4 linked regions of the Mus musculus genome follow. The protein of the gene in region 4 purifies or fractionates together with the protein of the main gene of each other region. This does not show direct contact. Links are inferred from orthologs where the notes say so. Each region holds a gene or a part of one and is shown on either strand. Other genes may lie near its edges.

The links.
Region 1: the proteins of Wdr92 (region 4) and Cct3 purify together in Homo sapiens (affinity purification with mass spectrometry; 3 studies listed by BioGRID and IntAct, counting the BioPlex papers as one, with this or other methods). This does not show direct contact. The link is inferred for Mus musculus from reciprocal best matches to the Homo sapiens genes DNAAF10 and CCT3.
Region 2: the proteins of Wdr92 (region 4) and Polr3e purify together in Homo sapiens (affinity purification with mass spectrometry; 3 studies listed by BioGRID and IntAct, with this or other methods). This does not show direct contact. The link is inferred for Mus musculus from reciprocal best matches to the Homo sapiens genes DNAAF10 and POLR3E.
Region 3: the proteins of Wdr92 (region 4) and Polr2j purify together in Homo sapiens (affinity purification with mass spectrometry; 3 studies listed by BioGRID and IntAct, with this or other methods). This does not show direct contact. The link is inferred for Mus musculus from reciprocal best matches to the Homo sapiens genes DNAAF10 and POLR2J.

The regions. Positions count from the first base shown.
Region 1 is NC_000069.6:88,295,243-88,300,421, forward strand, and holds the start of Cct3 (T-complex protein 1 subunit gamma), read left to right. Parts: upstream 1-1,892; 5' UTR 1,893-1,993; coding exon 1,994-2,024; intron 2,025-4,099; coding exon 4,100-4,161; intron 4,162-5,179. Other genes in the region: Tsacc (TSSK6-activating co-chaperone protein), read right to left, coding at 149-185. UniProt on the Homo sapiens protein: Component of the chaperonin-containing T-complex (TRiC), a molecular chaperone complex that assists the folding of actin, tubulin and other proteins upon ATP hydrolysis.
Region 2 is NC_000073.6:120,934,089-120,938,628, reverse strand, and holds part of Polr3e (DNA-directed RNA polymerase III subunit RPC5), read right to left. Parts: intron 3,857-4,540; coding exon 3,736-3,856; intron 1,027-3,735; coding exon 945-1,026; intron 1-944. UniProt on the Homo sapiens protein: DNA-dependent RNA polymerase catalyzes the transcription of DNA into RNA using the four ribonucleoside triphosphates as substrates.
Region 3 is NC_000071.6:136,114,877-136,120,025, reverse strand, and holds the start of Polr2j (DNA-directed RNA polymerase II subunit RPB11), read right to left. Parts: upstream 3,336-5,149; 5' UTR 3,274-3,335; coding exon 3,221-3,273; intron 32-3,220; coding exon 1-31. UniProt on the Homo sapiens protein: Core component of RNA polymerase II (Pol II), a DNA-dependent RNA polymerase which synthesizes mRNA precursors and many functional non-coding RNAs using the four ribonucleoside triphosphates as substrates.
Region 4 is NC_000077.6:17,217,711-17,222,250, reverse strand, and holds part of Wdr92 (WD repeat-containing protein 92), read right to left. Parts: intron 3,238-4,540; coding exon 3,137-3,237; intron 55-3,136; coding exon 1-54. UniProt on the Homo sapiens protein: Key assembly factor specifically required for the stability of axonemal dynein heavy chains in cytoplasm.

The sequences.
Region 1 (5,179 bases), on a different chromosome or scaffold from region 4:
GAAACCCTGAGTGAATGGGGAAGGCTGGCTTCTGAGGGAGGGGACACAGGGGCTGTGACACACCTTTTTCCTTAGTTTCATTTCTGAAACCCTGAGTGAATGGGGAAGGCTGGCTTCTGAGGGAGGGGACACAGGGGCTGTGACACACCTTTTTCCTTAGTAGGGTTACTAGTGTGCTGCTCCATCTTGACAGCAACAGGTCTGGTGCCTGGGAAAGAATAATAGGGTCACATGGTCAAACAACAGTGTCTTCTTTCCTAAGCACTCCCCTGAAAGCCCGAAGTGTAACAGTATATAACAGTGTATACACTATCTCATAGAGGTGTCTGGTTTTAAATGTAAAATTTTTAAGTTTTAATTATGTGAATATGTACATATATGAGTAGATCTCCCTTGAGTGAGAGGTGACTGTGAGCAGCCAGACATCAGTTCAAGGAATTGTGCTGAGGTTCTCTGCAAGAGCAATATACCCTCTAAGCCCACTGAGCCTTCCCTCCAGGCTGCCTCCCTTATGTGGTCCAGGGAGACTGAAGCCACTGAAAATCGCTATCCTCTTGACTCAGCCTCTGGAGTTTATTACAGGGGTGTGCTACCACACCAAACAAACAACTGTTCTGAAATTGTTAATTTTTCTCCAATTCCCTTCGGCAGTTTTTGTTAGTGCCTTTTCACTGCAGAAGACAAAGCATACCAAATACGAACTTTAAATCTATCACAAACATGTCATGACTCTTTGAGACTTCTGTTTAATTACTAGCCTTATTTTTTTTGTTGTTTTGTTTTGTCTTTTTCCTATATGGGGTGATCTGGCAAGAGGCTTGTCTCCAGTTTGAGATCAGCCTGGTCTTTACGACGAGTTTTAGGCCAGCCTTAGAACTCTGGTAAAGATAATACGGTAATTAAAAAAACAAAAACTCTAGTTTCTTTTGTCACTAACCAGTGACCAGGCTGGGGGGGAGGGGGCGAAGAAGACTCATAATACTGCAAGAAACACGACTTAGGATATTCGGGGGAAATGTGAGCGATCCTCCTTTATGTCTTTTTGCCTTAGACTCAACGTATTTTTCTAAGAAGTAAGACATTAGGACAGGAGAGATAGCTCAACAGTTAAGAGCAATAGATGGTCCCGCAGACAGGGTTACTTCCTAGCACCCACGTGGCGGTTCACAATCAATTCCAGTTCCAGAGGATCAGACTCCCGCTTGATCGCCTCTCACAAGTGGTGCACCTACATACGCACAGGCAAAACAACCATACACATAAAATAAAAAATAGGTACATCTAAAGAACAAGAATTTTCCTTCCTTTTCTTTAAAAAAGAAAACCAGCGCGTCTAGAGCAGTAAACCACAACTCCCAGCATGCTCCGGGGAGGCGGGGAGCCGAGTCGTTGCCTCCCCGCCCCGTAGGACAACTTCCACTTTTACACTGCCTCAATCTCTCGGGCCACGACGGGTATTTCTGGCTCCTCTACTCCTCCCTACCGCTAAGGCTGAAATAAAAAGTAGAGAACTATCATGCCTTCCTTGGCCTTCACGGTCGGACGAGAACCGATGGACAAAACAGAGCTTCATGATCTTACCTACAGCATTAATCCAAAGCCTCCACCCCAGCACCCACCCTCTAGTGGGTACTCATGCGCTGTAGCGAGCCAGCTAACTGCCCGTGCTTTGGCGCTTGCGCAGACATTCTGGCCGCACGCGGCCGGGAGCGGCCACGCCAGTGCGCAAGCGCTTGCGTCTCCCAGTCCCCTACATCATGCCCTCTCTATCTAACTTGCCTTGCCTTTCTTGCGTAGAGGGCGGGGCTAATACTGTCGATTGGCCTATGTTTTTGTCAATCAATAAAATGAGTTTGGTGATTGGCGGCACTTCAGAGGTTAGCAGGTTTCTGTGTCATTCCTGAGGAGGCAGCGTTTTCTTCGCTGCTCTTCTCTCCAGAAGGTTCTGCCGATTCCCCCCAGCTCTGGAGAGTCGGCTCTGCGTCGTGCCGCCATGATGGGCCACCGTCCAGTGCTCGTGCTCAGTGAGTTCAGGGAAGGGATGTCTCTCTCCGCCCCTCTCTCCCCAAGCTGGCCAGTGTTGCCCAGCTCCGTCCCGCCATGACTCGGCCCTCGTGCCTTCCAGTGGTCTTTTCGCCTTGGACCAAGCTCCTTCCCCACTTTTCTTCTCTTGCCTCTCCTGTCGCCTTCTTTTGACAAAATGACTTTCCGCTCTCGGAGTCGCTAGTCTTTACGTGTGCTTCATCCTATTCGCGTTCGGTTCTTTAGTCGCCACCCTCCACGCCCCCGTGTCCTTTACAGCATGATTTCCGTGTAGATAGTAATGATGGTTCTTAACGGTAGGCCTTGCTTCCTATGCTCGGTCCATCCCTCCGTAGAGGCGTGACTTAACGGCAACTCGCTTGATTGATACTTTAGCATCAGTATTTAGGAGGCTGTAGTAGAGTTGTTAAGTTGATAAGTAAAAGCTGCCTTTACCGGCAGATCGAATCGGAAGTGGCATCTTTTCAGTAGCGGTCATTCAGCAACCCTTGTTCGGAAATGACATTCCTGGCGTTCCCGATCTTGGATGTGATCTTTCCCACCAGCCAGTTCTCCCAAATTCCTTTCCTGGTTTTCTTTCCTCTTTAGGGAACGCCACTCATCTCAGTAAAGAGCACCAGTTCCTTGTCAGTTACCTGAGCTATTGAGAATAACTCAGTAAGCCTGGGTCAAAGTTAAACATAGTAAAGAGAAAAACAGATTTAGTCTGGCCACACTGGGAGGAGAGACAAAGGTGTTCAGTGACACTACCTCTCCTACACACTCGTAGACGAGTCCATGAGGTTTTAAGCAGCAGGCCAGATTTGTAAGAAGTCATTATTTTCTGCTCTAGTCTCCTGAGAGAAGTTTACCTACAGGGTGGCTCTCAGGCTTTAGTCTTTTTCCTGTTCTATCGTGAGATTCCTTGGCTTGTGATTGATATTTTGTTTGTTTTCGTCTGTGTATGGCACCAAGATTCCCTGGAATTGGAGTTACAGGCAGTTGTGAGCCACCTTGAGGGGCTGGGAATTGAAGCTGAACCATCTTTCCAGCCTCACAAGCAGACTTTCTTGGTCACTAATCTTTGAGACTCTGTGGCTCCTCTTCCCGGGGATGTTGTAAGGGGTGTGCAGTCTTGTGAAAAATCACTGTCCTACTGAGGCCCATTCAGGGCACTCAAGATATGAATCACTGGAAATATGTAAGCATGCATACAAGGAAAGTACTGGTCAAGACTATGAAGTTGAAGCATTTCAGGTTATCTCTTATTATACCGGGGGTTCTCTCATTATCTGTGTTTTTTGCCTGCCTCTATGTCTGTGCCTGCAGACACCAGAAAAGGACATCAGATCCCCTGGAACTGTAGTTAGAGATGATTGTGAGCTACCATGTTGGTGCTGGAAATGAATGCAGAGATCTCTGCAAGAGCTTCCAAAGGTTTTAACTACCAGGCCATCTCACTTCGTAACTGGCTAGCCTGGAACTAACTCACTTTATAAACCAAGTTGGTTGGTGTTCAAGTCACAGAAATCCATCTGCATCAGTGCTCGGATTAAAGGCATATGCTACCACGCTCAACCTTAAACAGTTGTAATTGACTGCTGGTTATACACTGAAAACTTTGTATTTATTTTTATTTTCAAAACTTGATGAATAGGGTTGGTGGTAGGATGGCTCAACAGGTTTAAAAAAAAAAAAAAAGCTCCTGACACTAAGCCTAATAATAACTGGAGGTCTTTTTGTTGTTGCTATTTTTGTTTGTTTGTTTGTTTGTTTGTTTGTTTCATTTGAGGCAGGTTCTCTATATATATGCCAAGTCACAGAGATACTCCTGACTCTGCCGTAAGTGCTGGGGTCAAAGGCATGCACCACCCTACCTGACTTGGATGACCAAGTTTGATCCCTGGCACCCATGTGATAGAAAGAAAATTAACTCTGAAAGTTGTTTTCTGACCTCACAGTTTTGCCAAGCATTTGTACACCTGATATATACATTAAAATGTAGCATTTTTTTTAAGTTAGGAAATAAAATGATTGTGTACACTGGGCTGTTGACATGTGTTTTTGTCTGTTTTAGGTCAGAACACAAAGCGTGAATCTGGAAGAAAAGTTCAGTCTGGAAATATCAATGCTGCAAAGGTAGTGCATGTTTTATGAGATAACAGCAGTTTGTTCTGGCTGACTCTCCTAATACTTCCTTATTGGTAGTAGCAAACTTCCTATGGTTCTGTACTTCATACAATGAGCAGAGGAAAACTTGCTTTTTTTTTCCAAGGCATTTCCCTGGTGGTGATACAGGAAGGGAGGTTTTTAAAAGATTTGCTTGTTTTACTTTACTGTTGGAGTGTTTTGCCTCCATGCATGTATGTATGTGTGTACATGGCATGGAAGCATAGAGGAGGTGGTCAGATCCCCCTGAAACCGGAGCTACAGGCCATTGTGAAAGTTCCCGTATCAGTGCTAGGACTTTAATCTAGGTCCTCTGAAAGAGCCCTGTCCCCTCTTGTTTGGGTAGCCTAGAATTTACTGCGTATAGTAGGTTGTCCTTGAACTCATGGATCTACTTGCCTCTGTCTCCCAAATCCTGGGGCTAAAATCATGTGCCACCACTCTGAGCTCAGTAAGTATATTTTTGAGTGAATGATTAGAAGTCTTGATTTCATGTGGACCAGAGGCCACTGTCAATAAAAGTATTAATGCTGAACTCTTAGGACACTAAAACTGAAATAGCTTCTGAAAATTTATTTGTTGTGTCTAAAATAGTTACCATTCTCGTCGTTAAGTGCCATTGTTAAACAGTGGCACTGGCTGGAGAGATGGCTGAATAGTTAAGAACACTTGCTACTCTTTTTTGTTTGTTTGTTTGTTTGTTTGTTTGTTTTTTTCAAGACAGGATTTCTCTGTGTGGCTCTGGCTGTCCTGGAACTCAGTCTGTAAAACAGGCTGGCCTCGAACTCAGAAATAAGCCTGCCTCTGCCTCCCGAGTGCTGGGATTAAAGGCATGCACCACCACACTATTAGACATACTGGAAGAGGGCATCAGATCCCATAACAGATGGTTGTGAGCCACCATGTGGTTGATGAGAATTGAACTCAGGACCTCTGGAAGAGCAGTCAGTGCTCTTAACCACTGAGCCATCTCTTGAGCCCCAAGTAT
Region 2 (4,540 bases), on a different chromosome or scaffold from region 4:
CCCAGAGGCTCCAGCTCCCACAGCTCTCGCTGCCTCATCAGCTGTCATGTCCCTGACCTACCTCACAGGAATACTCTCGAGAGGGGAAGTATTCTCAGTATTCACTGAGAGCCAAGAGGAAAGGATGGCTACTTGTTGTCTATAGTAACACTTCGTATACACTTGCGGGCTCCAACCCAACGGTATGCGAACACTAGAAAAGCAGCCAAAGCCAAAGGGCACTTGGCATGAGTGAATGAGGCCGGCTGGGAGCTGCACTCCTATGCCCCAAGTCAGACTCCGGAGGCCCCTCAACACAGACGTCCCCAAAAGCTAAGAATACCTAGTCAGAAGAGCAAACACAGCTGTCCTCAAACAATCTAAGGACTGCTTCCCTTCAGGACAAGCCTGTGCAGGGCACAAGGGCCCACATGAACAGCTCTAAGCAGCCACATTTCAGCAAATTCAATGTGTAAATGCCAAGGGTTAGAGGGTAGTACAGATTCCAGAGACTTGAGCTTAAAGACCCTGGGAGGGACTTAAGTTCTGGATATAAAACAGGGCAGGGTGAGAGAAAGGAAGGATGAATTAACTCAGAAGTCATAAACCCCAGAAAAGTAGCAAGGAATAAGTGCCAGACTATAGTGATATGAAACTATTGGTGCCAGCCATCCAAAGCAGGGGCTGGGCAGGGCTCTGGACCCAATGCTATCAGACTGTCAATCACTCATGACATCTGAAAACCCAACTTAAGTCTGCAGCCAAGGTGAGCTTTGTAATACACCACTTAACCACATGAACCCCACACACAGATTGAGCCAGCAGGGTCTTCATCAGCCCAGAATGACCAGAGGACAAAAGAGCACCAGCTGGAGTCCCACAGTGAGCTCCCTGCTGGAGCTCACTGCCTGCTTTGGATTCTCTCCCTCCACCCTGGACCCTGTGGCCAGAGCCTAGATACTCACAACAAAGTCTCGGCCCCTGCAGAGCACCTCAGCAGGCATGCCACTGTGAGGGCTGGAAGAATCCTTGGGATACAGGATGTCACTGGCAAACAAGCAGACGTAGCTGGTCAGTCCCTGTCTATGGTCCCACCACCCCCACATCCTACTTTAGAAGCCCAGGGCTTACAGTCTGAGCCAATCCAGGTCGCATCCTTTCATAGCAACAGGCCTGAGTCTGCAGGCCCAGGAAGTCATGGGAAAGAGCAAGCCCTTCCCAACAAACACATCACAGACTGGCCTGACCCCAGGGGGGAGTTAGGGGCTCACAGACACACACACAAGCCTGGAACCTCAAGGAGCCCAGGACTCTTGAGAAGACTGACCTCACAAGTCACATGTTTGTGGCTGTAAGAGAAACGAGTGCTAAAGCCAGTTAAAAGGCCTCTCCTGCCTGCCTAAGTGGATATGTGTCAGCTGTCAGAGGCTGGACCTGACTCCCCTAGAACATCAAAGAATAAAGACTGTGCCTGGGGCCCAGAGGTCCTCAGCGTAGAGGCCTGGAGGCACACGAACAGACAGTCCCTACTATGTGACTCTCACACTTCCTCCAGCCACAGCCCCAGGGTCAGCTTTTAACGGCTCCTCTGCTGGAGATCTTCCCTTCATACCTGCCAGTCCTGAGCAACTCATACTCCAAGGTTAAACTCCATGGGTATAGACCTGGCAAAGTGTTCTTGGCTGTCACATGGAGAAAGAGCCCATTGTCAACTAAACCTAGACAGACACATGTTGTGGGCCCCTATACTTTAAGGACAGCGAGAACATTCAATGGTGGCACACACAGCACAGAACATTTAAGTAAGACATTTGAATCAAGCTGAGTTTAAACACAAAGATAGATCTGGCTGGAAAGATTATGACTCACACCCAGTAGCCTCAACACCCAAGAAAAGGCTTACAGAAATCCTTGCAATATGCAGGACACCCAAGCTGATAAGCCATACTTCAATAGCTAGGCCTCCCACGACAAAAACAGCACAGGCAGAAGCCAGGCTGAGTCTCCGAGCTCAAACACGGCTCTGTAGGTGCCTTGGGAGATATACACAAGTCCTGGGCCTCTTTTGGTTAGTGTCTTCAGGAGTGTGTGATGCAACAGCCCTTCCTGGTTTTACAGTGTAAATACAAGTAGTATTCACCCTCACATTTAACAAGCAATGTGCCATGACAAAATTCTTCCATACAGAAAACTGGATAATCCAACAGCAAGATATATTTACCTGTAAATGGCACCACCATGTAAGAGGAATACACTTTACCATCAGGTTGGCAATCAAATGAAGGGCTTAATGAAATGAATGTTTTGAATTTTAGAACTATTCACATTTTATATTGTTCATACTACACTGTTCAAAGCCTGGGGTTAATGTATTAACTATAACACCACCTCATTATAATTAAAGTATGCATTTCCTGGGGTTGGTTTAGTGTGTTCCAGGCATTATACAATGATCTAAGAATGTAAGGAAATAATAGCACAGACTATCTCTACTCCCTCAGAACTGATGATCTGATGGGAAACCAGAGGAGAAAGGAGGCTGCTGAAACTAAGCCACAAAATCATGACCTGAACCCCACAGGCAACATAAAAAGCAAACCAAACATAGACACTTCTTTTGTTTGTTTGTTTGTTTGTTTGTTTCTCTGTGTAGCCTTGCCTGTCCTGGGACTCACTCTGTAGCCCTGGCTGTCCTGGGACTCACCCTGTAGACCAGGCTGGCCTCGAACTCAGAAATCCGCCTGCCTCTGCCTGCGTAGCCACTTCTTAACATAACAGTGGAAAGCCAGGACAAAGAGAAAGGCTTCAAAGCAACCAGAGGAGGACAAAGATCAAAGCACAAGGATCAGGTTCACAGTGGGCTTTCAGTAACAACTGACGTCATAACACAGAGTGCGGCTGGGGAGACAGCTCACAGGATGAAGCACTTGCTGCCCAAGGGTGAGGACCACAGTAGGACAGCTCAGCAGTCCAGAGCACGCACTGCTCTAGCAGAGGACCCGAGTCTGTCTCCCAGTCCCCACTCCAGAGGGACCTGACTCCTCTGGCCTCCACGGGCACCTATACTCACCTACAACTACCCACAGACATATACTCAAAACTCATGCAGCCACCTGTAATCCCTAGATACCCACAGCAAACTGGCCAGCTAAACTAATGAAGATGGGGGAAAACTCCAGGTTCAGGGAGAAATCCTGCGTAAAGGAGAAAGCAACCAAGAAAGACACTTGACCTCAACACTGGGCCTCAACACACATATTCCTATACATTTATGTAAAGCGCACACACAGAAAATACATCAATGCATGAAGAAAGAACTATCACTAACTTAAAAGCTGAGGAAAGCTATTACTGCAGACCTGTATTAAATACTATAGCACTCTTTGGGAAGATTGAAATGATTCCTGATGGGAATTCAGATGTACACTGGAATAAAAATACAATACAAAAGGCAGACATGTGAGTAAGCCTAAGAACACTGGCTGCATAAAGTCTTGTGGGCCTGAAAATATAGACACGATTAAAATATACATGTGGGAGGTGAACAGCTAAAATAGTCTAAGATTTTGAGCTGTCTTGGAAGAAAGTAAAAAGCAATTGACATGCAGCAGAGCATGCCAAAACTGTAGGGAACCAATAAAGAGTTAAGAGACTAACTCCCAAATTTGTATAAAAAAATGGAAGAGTCCTGGAAGAGGTAAAACGCAACTAGGCAGAACACCAACAGCATTCCATTCAGACTCCCAAGCAGCTTACCTCTTTACCACCCAGTTTCCTTGGACTAACATCGCCACCTTCTGGATGCCACGTAGAACAGCCACAGAGTCCACAGAGGGGCCCAGGAGGCTCATGAGATTAGCGAAGGGCATGACTTTCACTGAGGTGGAAAGACAAAAGACACAACTCACTAGGTAAAGTGCGAGACCTGACCCTTCTCTCTTCCCCAGCAAATGTTTCTAGAGCATTAAGATCCCAGGCCCTGCAACTCCTAGTAACGTGAATAACTGCAATGGCACCAGCAGTCACCACAGCAGTGGCCGAACGTTATGGCCTGGCCTCTTGCCTTCCACAGAACAAATGTCAGGATCTATGTGGAAATCTAAGGAGTACAGAAGATTCTGTCACTATTAGACCCAGAAAGAGTTGAACCCCACCACCACCACCACCACATTCCAGCTGGTTGGAAAAAGCAGAGACAGGATTTGAACCCAGGTCACTTGTAATGCCTCTGGAACTCAGGGCAAAACCTGGAAAAAGCCCAGAGTCCAGAGTCCTCTATAGAAGCCTGGAGAGGCAGGGAGCCCCTAGTTGTATCCAGGCCTAAAGACTTCTTAGAGGAGCCTAGAGTTTGGAACTCAGCCCCCAAAAGTTCTGCACCTCCACCTGAGAAAAAAAGGAGCAAGTCCTTATTGAGTAGAGGCCTGTAAGGCACTAAGACAGAGTCCTACCTGACATCCCTTGTAAAACTGTACTTGGCCCCATCAGTGTCCAGGAACCCACACTATTCTCTTAAAGACAGACCAAAGCTCAAATTGACCTGCCCAGGCTCCTGCAGCAGGGA
Region 3 (5,149 bases), on a different chromosome or scaffold from region 4:
GGGAACCTTAGTGTCCTTGTTAATGGTGATTCTGGAAGAGACGGCGGGAAGAGCTCAAGCCCACATCCAGCCTCGGGCGTGATACTGGCCCTCAGCCAGCCATGTGCCCTGGGGGTCACCATGTCCCCATCTGTGGTCAAATATTCTTGAAACTGCAGTTGGGCTGTTCCCACTACCTCAGAAATAAGGTACCTGGCCCTTCCCCACTGATGAACAGTTCCCTAAACTAGCTCTTGACTAAATTTTTACTTACAGGACATGAACCAACTAGTTGTAGTAGCATACGCCTTTGATCCCAGCATCTAGAAGGCAGAGGCAGGTAGATCTTTGAGTTTGAGGCCAGCCTGGGCCACACAGAAAACCCGTCTTGGAGTGGGTACAGGGGAGAGACCAGGAGACACTTAACCCCCAAGGCCCCTCACAATCAAGGTAGGCCCAGGTCTATCATTCTGCAAGCCCTACTATCTATCCCCAATGGCTACTGGAGTTGCACCTTGGGTTTTGAGCGTGCTAAGCAAAGCCCTCAACCACTGAGCTACAGGTCTAGCCCTGGGAGGCCTTTTTCAGTCTACTCACCAGTAAAGGACTCAGAGCTCTGGCATGGTTCAGTGGCCAACCATTAACCTCCCATGTGTAAGTCTCTGGGTCTCATCTCCACCACTCCCACCGTCCAAACAATAAACAAGGTAGGCCTGCCTGGTAGTTCAGACCAGTAATCCCAGCAATTTGGGAGGCTGAGGCAGGAGGATAGAGAAACACCTCAGCCATCACCCTGGCCTTTCTCTTTGCTTAAGGTAGAATCTCATTTGCCAATGGACACACTGTGCTTGTCTCCACTTCCCATGCCCCTGGAGAAACACTGGAAGCAGAACTCAGATCTACACACAAGTCCTCAGCATGACAATCAATCAATCAATAAATGCTAACAAGGAACCGCCTCTCCCCTGTGATGGCCTCCTATTTATATACCAGGGAGCATGGACTTAGCAGTCCTTGTTTTTGTTTGTTTTTTTTGAGACTACATTTCTTCGTACTTGATCTGTAGACCAGGCTGGCCTTGATCCCCCTGCCTCTGCCTCCCAAGTGCTGGGATTAAAGGTGGATTAAAATCCACCGCTCAGTTAAGGATTGCTCCTTTTTTCAAACTCGGTACACAAATATTTTCTTACTTTGTCCACGCCTGTCTGAGATAAGAGGACAACCTGTAATTGTCAGGTCTCTCCTGGTACCATAGTGGTCCCAGGGACTGAACTCAAGTCATCAGGCTTGCCTGCGGGTGCCTGCGCTCAAGCCATGTTGCCAGCCCAGAACATGGATGTTTTGGACCTGATTGTCCTTTTCTGGGAGCCTGTCTACTGCACCAAGGGTTGTTATCAGCATCCCTTGCTGCTATCCACCCGCTGCCAATACCAACGTGCCTGGGACAACCAGAACCTTTTCCAGATGGCCAAATGCTCTTGCTCATGGGACAACAACCGGGCTCTCAGTTGAGAATATGCCCCCAAGGAAGGCTGAAGTAGCTATCAAATGTCAATCACAAAACCCTGCCTCTTAGGAATGAGCAGTGTCGGCTACAGGTCTGCAGTGTACACTGTACTGGCAAACTCGGAGGATCTTGAAGAACTTCATTATTTATTGACTGATTGATACAGGGATGAAATGAGCCCCGTGCATGCTAGGTAAGCAATCTACCACTGGGGTATACCTCTGAGAGGCCAAATCTACTCCATCTTGGGACCTGCTACCTCCATCTTAAAGAAAAAAAAAAAAGCCGGGCGTGGTGGTGCATGCCTTTAATCCCAGCACTCTGGAGGCATTGGCAGGCGGATTTCTGGGTTTGAGGCCAGCCTGGTCTACAAAGTGAGTTCCAGGACAGCCAGGGCTATACAGAGAAACCCTGTCTTGAACCCCCCCCCCCCCCCGCAAAAAAAGCCTGAGAACTTGACCTACAGCAGAACCCAAGATGCAACCAAGTACCAGGAAGGACCTCACGGCTTGTCCCTTGGCCCATACCCCAGAGTTACTCCCTAGCAACAGTTAATCAAAGATTAGTCTGGTTGCTTCAGATCTACTTTCAGATAGTTTGTGATTGTTCATCTCCCTTCACAGCACCACCTGTCAGCTTACAACAGACATTCAGTTAGATACCTGCCAAGCTCCATACCCCGTCACTCCCACTCCCTAGAAAACCTTGTCCTGGGTTCAAGGCTGCTCTGCCTTCTCTTCCTGTCCTGTTGTGTCAGGGTTGGGTTGGAGGAGAGCCCAAGCCCGAGCTTGTGATAAAGAGACCCTAATGGAAACGGCTCCTTAATGATCTTTTGGGGTTCACAAACGATTCCTAGCACACCTCCATACCTTTTTCCCACTGAGATAGAGACTAAGCTGACTTCCAAGAAGGGGCACACACACGAGAGAAGGGTTACACAAGAGAGAAGGGTTCGTAGCAAACTTTGAGTCATCAAAAGAGTGTATTTGGCTACCATTAAGACAATTACATAAAGCCAGAGCCGGTGGCTCAGGCCGTTAATCCCAGGTAGAAGCAGGTGGATCGCTGAGTTTGAGGCTAGTCTGGTCTGCAAAGCTCGTTCCAAGACAGTCAAGGAGGATACACAGAGAAACCCTACCTCCAAAAGACAATTAGATGCTTAATCTCTAAACCTGTAGCCACTCGAGTGCAAAGTACTTCCCCCTGCTCTCTGAATGCACACAGACCCAACTTGCGTCTGTCTTACTTTCTTAGCGCTCTCTTCCTCTGAACCCTCCTGCTTAAGCCCATATTAAAGTATCTTTAATTAAAAACCCACCAATCCTGCTTCACTAAACCGAAGAGTCCTGAAATTCTTTTTAGCGTGGAGCCACGAACCCGGGTTTGGCCTAAGTCGGGATCCCTGAAAATCTAGGAGAAACCCTCAGGTTGCTGAGGAGTGTAAGAGAGCTGTGTCTCTGTCCCTTCACAGCTGTCATCATGAACCAAGTGTCTGGAGCAAGACACTCCATGTCCCAGAGCCTCCGATTTCCCACTGCAAAATGCATGCACGCGCCAGTGCTTCGCGCCGCTGCCTGAAGCTGGGCAGACTCGCATTGAGCAGCACGGAAGACTCAAAGCAAAGCCCGCCTCCCGCCTCGGTTTCCCCAGACAGGAGCAGTGCGGCGCTCCAGCGGAGCTGACGGCCGGCAGGCTCCTATGCAACCGTCCCCGCCTCCGCCGGCCTCCACTTACTTCTTCTCGCCCTCGAAGAGCAAGAACGACTCGAAGGCCGGAGGAGCGTTCATCCTAGCGCCGCGCTCTCGCTCCCCGACACCAACCCACAGTCTCCTTCCGCCAACAGAGCCCCGAAGCGCGACCACTTCCGGATTTCTCAGCCGCAGCCAATCAGTGTAAGCACCTGGCCCCCGCCCCCTAGCGGCTCGGATGACCTAATGCAGGCGCAGGCAAGGCTGAGGGCGAGCCGTGCGCATGCGTCAGTTTAGAACCCTTGTTCGAGGCGTCCATGCTGAGTGTTTTGGCGCGTGCTCCCGCGCCCGGAGTTGAGCCACCTGTAGCTGGCTCCCCGGTACCGACTGAATGGGACTAAGAGTCTAAGTGGGCTGCTGCTGCAGGACCCCCGGGTGGGCCGACACTGGCGGACTTATGAGGCCTTCTAGATGAGGACCAGTGGAGCAAGAAGGGATGTAAAGGTTGGGGAGGAGCTTGGGGTACCAGCGCATCTTCTCTTGAGCACACAGGTAACTAAAAACACGATGAAAGCTTTGCACCTCGCCATTTTTCAGCGGTCTCTGTAGCAATCTTTTATTTTTCCTATTTTTAAAGATTTTTATTTGCATATCTTGTATGGGCACGTATATGCAGGTGCCTTTGGAGACCAGAAGAGGGTTGGGTCACCTGGAGCTGGAGTTACAGGTGGTTGTGAGCCCCCCCTGCCCCAGTGGGTGCTGGGAACCGAACTCCAGTCCCCTGCAGGAGCAGTAAGACCCTTAACTGCTGAGCCATTTCTCCAGCCTCCCTGATGGCTCATCTTGTCAACCGGATGAAATTTAGAATCATCCTAGAAACAAACCCCTAGGAGGGGCCAGCAAGACAGCCCAGTGGGCAAGGGGGAGTGTGACCAAATCTGATTACCTAAATTCAGTCCCCAGAACCCACGTGGTGGTAGAGAACAGACTTCTCCGACCTCCCTTCACGGTATGCATTTACACATGTGTGCACTCACAATAGAGAATAATAATCATAACCATAATAAAGAACGTTTGGTTGTCTTTGGGATTCTAGACAGATTTGACTGAGGAAGACAGACGTGTATGGCATCATCCTAGAGGCTCAGGAGTCAGACTACAGCTTCCTGGCGCAGATGCAGTGTGCTTGGCTGCCTGGGAATCCTGTTGCTATGACATCTGCATTGTATACCCTTCCTTAAGATGCTTCTGGTTGGTTGTTTTTTTGTTTTTTTTTTTTGGGGGGGGGGTTCGAGACAGGGTTTCTCTGTGTAGCCCTGGCTGTCCTGGAGCTCACTTTGTAGACCAGGCTGGCCTCAAACTCAGAAATCCGACTGCCTCTGCCTCCCGAGTGCTGGGATTAAAGGCATGGACCACCACGCCTGGCTGCTTCTGGTTGTTGTTGTCTTGGTTTTGTTTGTTTTTCAAGACAAGTGTTTCTCTGTGCAACCCTGGCAGTCCTGAAACTTGCTCTGTAGATCAAGCTGGCATCGAACTCAGAAAGCTGCCTGCCTCCATCTCCAAGAGTGCTGGCATTAAAGGCGTAAGCCAGCAGCACCAGGACTTCTGTTCAGTTTTCAGACACAACAACAAGAACAGTAACTAATACAGACTCAGTCTCCCAAGCGTTGGAGCCACAGGCATGAGCCATCCTGTCCATTGGTATCTGAGTGCTGAAGCACCACTGGGTGATGGAAGTGTCACAGGAATCAAGCGAAGACGATGATGTCAGGTCCTGGAAGGCTCTGGGGCCCTTCGCATGCTGGGTCACACTCCACTTTGCCTCTGCACATGGGCATATTACTTCTGGAGTGTCAAAGTAGTGATGCCTAAGCCAGCTCAGCCACCTTCAAGGCTGAAGGTACAAAGATAATGCAGGCACCTTGCTCAGCTCTTACGTCTCCAACTGGGAGGAAGACGAGGAGGAGGAAGAGGA
Region 4 (4,540 bases):
ATTTCTTTGTGGCCCTTTACAGAATACACTGGCATCTCTGGAGCTTCCAAGTTCCTAAGCAGAAAATACATAACTGCTTATCACATGGCCTTAAAATACATAACTGCTTATCACATGGCCTTCAAACCAATTAAACTAAAATACATAACTACTTATCACATGGCCTTAAAGCCAACTAAACTAAAATCAATAAAAACAAAAAACAATGCAAAATGGACGACTTTAACCTAAGACAGAGGCTCTGAAAACACTAGAGGAAAACACACGTGATACCCTGGATGCCAGAAGCACAGGCAAGGATTCTCTGAAACGGACTCAACAGCACAGGAAATGGACCCATCAAGACAGGAATGGATAAGGTTATAGACAATGACATGTTATTCAGCCAAGACAAAATATGAAATCATGATATTTCTACGAAAGCACACGGAAGTGGGAATTGTTTATTTTTTCTATTTTGTTTTATTTTATTTTAAGTGTATGGTGGAAGAGTGAAAATGGGTCAAAAGGGAGGGATAGAGGGAGGGGGAATTTTAAGATGGGCTGGAGAGATGGCTTAGTGGTTAAGAGCACCGATTGCTCTTCCGAAGGTCCTGAGTTCAAATCCCAGCAACCACATGGAAAAAAAATACAAAATCTGTAGACCAGGCTGGCCTCAAATTCAGAAGTCCACCTGCCTCTGCCTCCGGAGTGCTGGGTTTACAGGCCTGCGCTACCTCCACCCGGTGACCTGTCTCACGATGATCTAAACCCAGCTCACGTTCCCTATTAGTGGGTGAACAATCCAACGCCTGGTGAATTCTGCTTCACCATGATAGGAAGAGCCGACATTGAAGGATGATAAAGTGACGTGGCTATGAACGCTTGGCTGCCACAAGCCAGTTATCCCTGTGGTAACTTTTCTGACACCTCCTGATTGTTCCAACATGCCAGAGGCTGTTCACCTTGGAGACCTGCTGCGGATATCGGGTAATTGTTATATTAAGCAAATAAGCCAGAACAGGGGAAAAAAGGAGTCATGTTTCCTCTTATGCATGGAAAATAAATTTAAGATTATACACACATACACATGTGTATAAATATGCATGTATATATGTATATATACACCATAAAACCTGAAAGGTTGGCCAGGGAGGTAAAGGCACTTGTCACCAAGCCTGACAACCTGTACTGACTCCCAGATCATACAAGGCGTTAAGTGACAACAGAGTCCCAGAAGTTGTCTTCTGCTCGCTCTCAAATCCTTGTTCATGGCCATGTACACACAGAGACACAGATACAGACAGACAGAGGGACATGTGCTCTCCACTTGTGCATGGACATGGACACACACACAGACACAGACACACAGAGAGACACACATGGAATAAAGTGTGAAAATAATTTCAACAACAACAACAAAAACCTTAAAAGGGGGTCAGAAGGTATGGAGTGAGCAATGGGATAAATGATGTATCTAGTCTGAGGGATGGGGGATGTCTTTAAGCTCAGCACTTGGGAGGGAGGGGCAAACAGAGATCTGTGAGTTACAGGCCAGCTTGATCTTCACTGTGAGCTCCAGGGTAGCCAGGGCTATGTAGAGAGACTCTGTCTCAAAACAAACAAACAAACACACAAACAAACAAATAAACAAACAAACAAGCAATCAATTGTAGCTGGATCCGGCAGAGAGAGAACCAGCAATCAGGGAGCAGGCGTACGAGGGCAAATAGGAGAGGGAAATGAGTAAGATCAAAGCATATTGATACATATATATGCATATACATAACTGAAATGATGAACATCTACTACTCTATATGATAAGCCCCCCAAATAATGAAAAATAAATAAAATACAGAAAGGAAGACACTGGCCTCTCTTTTTATTTCTCTGAAGCTCTACGACAAAATATGTAAAATGATGAATATGAACTTAAGAGCTAAGCAGTTAGAGAAAGGAAAATTACACTAGCTTCACTTTTATGTTATGCTTCTAAAAATAGGTAAATATATGAACATGGTTTAACTATAAAGCAGTACAATTCGATTGACAACCGAAAGGTCTTCTTAGGTGGGGTGTGGTGGCACACTCCTTGACTCTCGTCATGAGGAGGCAGAGGCAGGTGGCGGCTTGTGAGTTCCAAGCTCGCCTGGTCTATGTAGGGATACATAGTGAGTTTTAGTTCAGCCAGAGTACACATGAACCCTGTCACCAAAATAAACACCTCATATTAGAAACAAGCTAAGGAAGGAAGGAAGGAAGGAAGGAAGGAAGGAAGGAAGGAAGGAAGGAAGGAGAGAAAGAAAGGAGAGAAAGGAAGGAAGGAAGGAAGAAAAAGAGAGAGAAAGATAAAAAGAAAGAAAGAATGAAAGAAAGAAAGAAAGAAAGAAAGAAAGAAAGAAAGAAAGCTGCTGTATACTTTAAATGCTGAAAATAGATTTTCCTAAAAAGTAATTAAAGAGAAATTTGAATTCATTTAACTTTAAGTATTAAGAAATAATTCTAAGTAAGATTTATATAAAGGCATCAGACAATTCTGTGATTTATTTATTCAAAGCCGCCTTTTATGTATTGTTCAACAGACATTTTCCTAAAAGTCATGTCTAGATCTTAAAGTATTAAATACTAACCAAAACTTTAACTGAGAGTTTTGCATGGAAAAAATTAAAATCAGTGTATCGCTCTATAAAACCAAACTTCTTGCTAAAATGGCATCTATCAATTACCAGTCCCAAACAGCCTGGGGTGTGGGGGTAAGAATCGGTAACACTGTTTCAAGTTCTAAACCAAAAACCATCTTTTTAAACCTTTGTCCTTTAACTTTTGAGGTCAAATACAATTGTATCCCCCCCCCCCCAAGCCCTTTCACAGATCCCTCTTACTCTTTCACAGTCGGCATGTTTGTTCATTGCTATTACATGCATCTATGTACACCTACATGTAATGTTATACATACACATTCCTAAATGTAATATGAAGCTTAGGATTTTAAGTGGACTTTAAATATGACAGAGATATAACACAGTCCTCATGGCTTCGGTTACTTTTAATTAAAATATTTGAAGTAAGTATTTTAAAATTAGAATTCTCTTTTAGAAGACTAATAAGCCCATCAAAGGGAGTGCTTATCCATTGCAGTACTATTTAATAATCTCACCATATATGAAGATTTCCACCAAAATCTCCAGTAGCTAAGAATCTCTGCTGCAGAGATGCGGCACCAAATGTTCCACATTTAATGGGCTTGGCCTTTTCAATCTGGACAGAAAGGAGAGAAGGATTCTTTACTTATGGAAACAGTTATTTATAATCACAATGTTGACAGCTTAGCTGTAGGGGGTTATAAATACATTATACATAAAAGCAATTAAAACATTTTCTATAAAAATTATACTTCCTTTAGTCAATTTTGTATGATTTTAAAAGTATATCACTGTCCAAAGAAAGGTAGTTTTTGTTTTGAGACAGGGTCTTACTATGTAGCCTTGGCTCTGAGCTCCTAGATCACTGTCTAGGTGCGGGTAGAGTTGATTTATTTTTACTTAATGTGTATAGGTGTTTTGCCTTCATGGAGGTGCATGCAGTACCCACAAAAGCTAGAAAAGGCTATGGGCACCCCTGGAACTGGTAGTTGCCATGTGTGTGCTGGGAGTCCAAGCCAGGCTCACTGTAGAGCAGTCAGTGACCTCAGAGCTAGCTCTCCAGTTTCGGAGACAAGGTTTCTCACTTGGTTGCTCAAATCAGACATGATTCAAACTGGTCTAAAACTGAAAGACCATGTGATTACAGGAGAGGGAAGAAGAGGGGAAATGCTGCCATCTTGAACCCCATGTAGTGGCTCACTCCTGTAGCCCCAGCACTCCAGATATGGAAGCAGAAATGCAGTTGTGAGTTCCAGGTCAGGCAAGGCTACACAGTGAATTTTAGGTCACACTAGGCTACAAAGACATCTTTAATCTTCCCACTCACAATCCCAAAAGCTCTCCCATCTCTGCTAGTGCCAGGTTGGTACTGTGCTAACCTCTCAAATACAAGGGATACATCGTTTTGTGAAGGCTACAGGAACAAACATGTCCATGAGCCTCTTGTAGTCCTAGCTACAGAATCCGGTTGGTGTTCAGTGCTCTCTGAATGAGGGCATAAGGAAGCCCCCATTAGCCCTTCAGCACTAATTCTTGGGACAGCGAAGCCAACGCCACAATACTCCTCTCCCATCCTCCCTTTTCATCCTCTGGATTTTATGTGCCATGTGTCTAGGATGGTGTTTGGTGTCATTTGCTAAAGATCATGGAAACTTTACAAATACTGAGCATATGATAACATGTAGCATCAGTCCACATGTTTTTTTTTCAGAAATGAGCATCATTTTTCTTAACATGTACATTGCTGTAAACTACTAGCCGCTTCTCTTTCTGTCTGTCTGTCTGTCTGTCTCAAATCCTCACCCTTCCTCTCCCGTGTGCGTGTGTGTGTGTGTGTGTGTGAGTGTAGGCATGCACATCCATGCTGACGTCAGAAGAGGACTTCAGGTATCCTGATTTATCCCGTGTGTGTGTGCACG